Linked DNA regions of Saccharomyces cerevisiae S288C. The protein of the gene in region 2 binds, or shares a complex with, the protein of the main gene of each other region. Each region holds a gene or a part of one and is shown on either strand. Other genes may lie near its edges.

Region 1 (2,863 bases), on a different chromosome or scaffold from region 2:
TAACTGAGTTTGAATTCTTTTTGTAAAATCGTGGCAGTAGTTCTTGAAATGTCATTTTGAAGGACACTGAGTTTCGAAATATCAACATTATGAGTATGAATAAAAGTGTAAGGATAATGATCCTTTTGAGTTCCATGTGATGAGAAGTGGTATGCTTAGTATTGCTCATACTGGACAAATACGAAAGGAATCAGTAAATAATTAAGATTGTAGAGGGAGGGGTGTATGTGTATGCGGATACTTTTTTGATTTGGCAGAAGGAAAATTGGTATTGGCAGCTGTACAGTGACTCCCCTTATACAAATGATCTCAGTTTGTTTCGTTTTTCCTCATTCTCTGGCTTTAGACTTCAAATCGCGGTGTAAAAAAAATAGGACAAAACTATGTAGCGCATACTATGTCAGTCAGGTATTGAGAATATGTAAAGAAATGCCATACCGTGATTTGATTTTGTTTTCAACTGTAAGGAAGGGAGTTTATATGAGATTATATTATTAAACCTATTTTTGCATATATAGTACATCAGAACCTTCGGCGGAACTTAAAGAGACCAAAATAGTACCTCTTATGACGGTCAAACCTAGCTTTCTTGCGTTTTTAGAAATCAGTTCAGTGTTGTTTTCATCATCAGGATTAGACATATATTCTACTGTATCATCAAGTACCAAGTTCATCAGTTGATCATAGCCTTTTAGGACACCTATAACTAATTTACCACCCATTAATTTGACGCGAATTTTAGAATCTTTATACTTCGCTAAATCCAGAATAGCTTCTCTTTTAGGGCCTTCGAATTTTTTCCTTTGCTGTTGTGGTTTGTTCTCTGATTTCTTAGTTCAAAAAGGAAACATAGTTATTATAATGTTAGTATAAATAAGTCAAAAGGAAGGTTATTGCCACGGAAGAAAATAAGAAGTGAAACATACGGAGTGTTGCTGATGCATGTTTTTTTGGTTAATGTTCTGTGTAGTAAACAAAGTGCTGCTCTCAAATAACTTTCTTTTTTACTGTAGTAGTATACACGTACATGCGTATTCTTAATTGTCGTTTCCCAGTTGTCTGTTTTCAGCTACAGCTTTTTTCGCCTTTGTTCGAAAGAACAGTACTTTTTTCCGGCTCGCAGGGAAACGGCAGTTGAAGAAGACAAGCGACAAGAACATAGAGCAACGAATTCAAATAAAGAGATAGAAAAAAAAATTACATGGCAAAACTATGGTTAGAGTTGTCATAGAGAGTGAATTGGTCCGTACAGAAAAGGAATTACCAAATTCGCTTAAATTAAGGCAGTTCAAGGACCGATTGTACCATGTTACCGGAGTGGAACCAGAGGATATGGAAATAGTTGTGAAAAGACAGTACGACAACAAGGAGATATATAGTACTAAAAAGGGGGGTGCCTATTCAAATGAGGATGAAGATGCCAACTTCCTAAAAGGAGAGGAGGAGCTTATTGTGGTTGTTACAGACTCTAATGCCCAATCAATCTCTAACCAGCTGGCCACGCAAGCGGAAGGAATCCCCTCAATGGAAGTAATTAGCGAGGAGGATTATTTGCGAAGGGATCAATCCGTATTACGATGGAAGATGGCTCACGGCTATGGTAGGTTTAATGCTGCACAGCAGAGCCAGCGCGCTGCGCTGGCAAAGCAGGACGAAGCATATGCCCGAGAGCAATTAACGGCGGCTATCGGCCGCCACTGTCGTGTCACAGTAGACGGGAGCGCTCCACGTGAGGCCATTTTACGGTACGTAGGACCACTACCGTTGGACGTGATGGGCACATGGTGCGGTGTGGAATTCCCGGAAGCCGCAGGCAAAAACGATGGGCGCATAAATGGGGTAACACTGTTTGGGCCTGTGGCGCCGGGTCACGGATCGTTTGTGCGTCCGCGGGCTGTGGAAATTCTATCAAAAGACGAAGAATCCGCCGAGGTGGAAGACGTCCATGATGACGTGGAGAGCGATGATGAAATTTGAATTTGTGCAGAATTAGCGCGGTGGCGGTTTAGTTAGTGATCTCCATCCGATGTCAACATATTATTATTTGTAGTTGTATTTATGTGCACTCGGCGGTTTGTATGAGGAAAAGATGTTATGAAGAGAAAAACTGCCGAGTAATTGAAAGAGATGTCTGAAGTAGCGGAAACATGGGTGGATACCTGGATGGCAAAACTAGTCAACTATGACTACAAGCACTTTATAAGATTGGTGATAATTGTAGGTGGTTATTTACTCTTAAGAAATATCGCATCCAGGGAATTGGCGAAGAAGCAGTTGGCTGCCCAAGTGGAAAAGGACAAACGAGACAAAGAGGAAAAGAGATCAAAAGACCTGATCGACAAGCCAGATGATGCTGCAACAGCAGAAACAACTTCTTTCGGTTGGGGTAAGAAAACTAGAAGAAGAGTTAAAAGACAACAGGAGTTGTTTGAAAACGCTTTGGAAGAGGCTAAGAGAAGAAACCAAGGGTTGGACCCAGATAGTGATGCTGATATTGAGGAACTACTGGAAGAATAGGCTCTCTGTGTATGTATGGGTTCCTCTTTGTCATTGTGACATTGTTTTGTTTTTAGTTTTTCTATAGTTTTCTGATAAAATAGTCTAACCATTACCGATGTTGCTACTTGCATCATTCTCAACGTCTAATCAACTTGCGTTTGCGTCTCAAATTGAGTTTGTAGGTTACGTGTCGCCTTAATAGTCAGCAAATGCCGACGTTTGTGAGACGGATAACGACTGCGATGATTCCCATTCCGCATGAATGATGCAATTCACAATTCAAACACGATATCAAACGACTAAGCCGTGAATTAACGGCTAGAATGCAAAAGAAAATGGGTAAGAATTGATTTATGTAGATACG
Region 2 (2,712 bases):
TTGCCTTTGGCTATTCCATGGAATATTATTTTCATTTGAGACATCATAAAGGTGCGGAAGAGCATTGAACGTGGAGTTTTACTTTTGTAGAAAATTCTTTATTTTAAGCCTTTTTAAACCAAACATGCAAAGAGAAGAAAAACTTTTTGGTAAATCCAAATAATTTTTGAGCGAAATTGAAAGGAGTACATAAGTGATAGAACAAAATTTCGTTGTTTTCATATGTCTATAAGGAAACTCCGTCACTTTCTGGCTCTATTCATTTTTTCTTTAGTAAAGCATAAAAATAATGAGACGGAGAGTAAACTTTACAATATATATTCATAAAAATTCATTAAAATAAAACTGTTCGATCCTATTCGATATACACACACACATATATATATATATGTATATAGATATGGGTGTGTTTGTGTGTATCCGTGCTAAACTCGCAAATGCAACTTTATGTCAAACCAACTTGCTCATTCCTACATATTAATCCATTAGAGGAGATAAGTCTATATTTTTTGTTCACTGATATACATGACCTGCGTGCCCCTCAAAAAGACATCACTATTGAACTTATTTAGAAGCTTATTGTTATTACTCTCGTAGTGTTCAGTGGCACTCGATAGTGCAACATTCATAAAACCATCAATGGATTCCAATCTTCCGCTGTAGAGTAAACCCGAGGCAAGTTTGACGTTCACTGTCTTACCAATGATATCAGAGAGAAACTCCGTAGTAACGCTACCCTCTGTAGAAGCTTTTCCGGACATCACTAATAATCTCTGCTTGTTTTGCTTATACTGTGCAATGCCATATTTTCTCGTTAATATGGCGTCTTGTGCATTATTGAATGGGTTGCTGCGACGTTGCTTATTTGGCATTGTACACGAACAGCTGCCCCCGGGTAAAATGTTTTAATAATAGAAATATCTTACATTAAACGGCTAAAAGAAAGGCCTATAGTCGTAATAACATTTATTTCCTACACATAACCCAGTTAATTAGCCACAGTGATATTCGATTTATGCCGCTTCAATTGTGCTTAAATCGTTGCATCGCTTCAGTAACTTTTAATTGTAATGATAATGCACGTCAATTTAGTTTCCCATTCGGGTAAACAGTATCAGGTCGAGATATGAAAATTGGCATTCCTTGGAGAATGTTAGCCAGAAGATCGATCAGTCGACTCCCCTATTGATTAACATTTCATCTTTGCATACTTGGCGTTTCTAATCCTTATCTTTTATTACCAAGAGTTCATTGTACTTTTAATAAAGTGAAATATAACGTAGCATCTCAAGAGCAAGGAGATTTTGATGAAAAAAATATGTCAGCTGACCCTATTAATGACCAATCGTCTTTATGTGTGAGGTGCAATAAATCAATCGCGTCTAGCCAGGTATACGAATTAGAAAGCAAAAAATGGCATGACCAGTGCTTTACATGCTACAAATGTGACAAAAAATTGAACGCAGATTCAGACTTTTTGGTTCTGGATATAGGTACATTAATTTGTTACGACTGCTCAGATAAATGTACAAATTGTGGCGATAAAATAGACGACACAGCAATTATACTGCCTTCCTCAAATGAGGCCTATTGTTCCAATTGTTTCAGATGCTGTCGGTGCAGCAACCGTATAAAGAACTTAAAGTATGCAAAGACAAAACGAGGACTATGTTGTATGGATTGTCACGAGAAATTGTTGAGAAAAAAACAACTATTACTGGAAAATCAAACAAAAAATTCATCGAAAGAAGATTTTCCCATAAAACTTCCTGAAAGATCAGTCAAAAGGCCCTTGTCACCCACCAGAATAAATGGTAAGTCAGATGTCAGTACAAACAACACCGCAATAAGTAAGAACCTTGTAAGCTCGAATGAGGATCAACAGCTCACTCCACAAGTTTTAGTATCACAAGAAAGAGATGAATCATCGTTGAATGACAATAATGATAATGATAACAGCAAGGACAGGGAGGAAACATCTTCTCACGCAAGGACGGTTTCTATTGACGACATTCTGAACTCTACTTTGGAACACGATAGTAATAGCATTGAAGAGCAGAGTTTGGTGGATAATGAGGACTACATCAACAAAATGGGTGAAGACGTAACCTATAGGCTATTAAAACCACAAAGAGCAAATCGAGATTCCATAGTGGTAAAGGATCCGAGGATCCCAAATTCGAACTCGAACGCGAATAGATTCTTTTCAATTTATGATAAAGAAGAGACAGACAAAGATGATACAGACAACAAAGAGAATGAAATCATCGTCAACACACCCAGAAATAGCACTGATAAAATTACAAGTCCTTTGAACAGCCCTATGGCTGTACAAATGAACGAAGAGGTCGAACCTCCGCATGGACTGGCATTAACTTTATCAGAAGCTACGAAAGAAAATAACAAATCATCTCAAGGTATTCAAACGTCAACTTCCAAATCTATGAATCATGTCTCCCCGATTACAAGAACCGATACCGTAGAAATGAAAACATCAACCTCTTCATCGACATTACGTTTGTCTGATAATGGAAGTTTCAGCAGGCCTCAAACAGCAGATAACTTATTGCCGCATAAAAAAGTAGCACCCTCTCCAAACAAAAAACTTTCAAGATCGTTTTCTTTGAAGTCCAAAAATTTTGTTCACAACCTGAAAAGTAAAACTTCGGAAATGCTGGACCCAAAGCATCCCCATCACAGCACTTCTATACA

Evidence for each region. The genes of interacting proteins can lie anywhere in the genome.
Region 1: LSM6 (region 2) and LSM7 share a complex: the UniProt entries of both Saccharomyces cerevisiae proteins name them as parts of the spliceosome U4/U6-U5 tri-snRNP complex.

The regions. Positions count from the first base shown.
Region 1 is NC_001146.8:349,021-351,883, reverse strand, and holds LSM7 (Sm-like protein LSM7), read right to left. Parts: upstream 945-2,863; coding exon 927-944; intron 831-926; coding exon 501-830; downstream 1-500. Other genes in the region: YNL146W (uncharacterized protein), read right to left, coding at 1-169; YNL146C-A (uncharacterized protein), read left to right, coding at 304-498; ALF1 (Alf1p), read left to right, coding at 1,213-1,977; PGA2 (Pga2p), read left to right, coding at 2,128-2,517. UniProt on the Saccharomyces cerevisiae protein: Component of LSm protein complexes, which are involved in RNA processing and may function in a chaperone-like manner. Component of the cytoplasmic LSM1-LSM7 complex which is involved in mRNA degradation by activating the decapping step.
Region 2 is NC_001136.10:1,228,849-1,231,560, forward strand, and holds LSM6 (U4/U6-U5 snRNP complex subunit LSM6), read right to left. Parts: upstream 762-2,712; coding exon 501-761; downstream 1-500. Other genes in the region: ATP17 (F1F0 ATP synthase subunit f), read left to right, coding at 1-68; GTPase-activating protein RGA2, read left to right, coding at 1,319-2,712. UniProt on the Saccharomyces cerevisiae protein: Component of LSm protein complexes, which are involved in RNA processing and may function in a chaperone-like manner. Component of the cytoplasmic LSM1-LSM7 complex which is involved in mRNA degradation by activating the decapping step.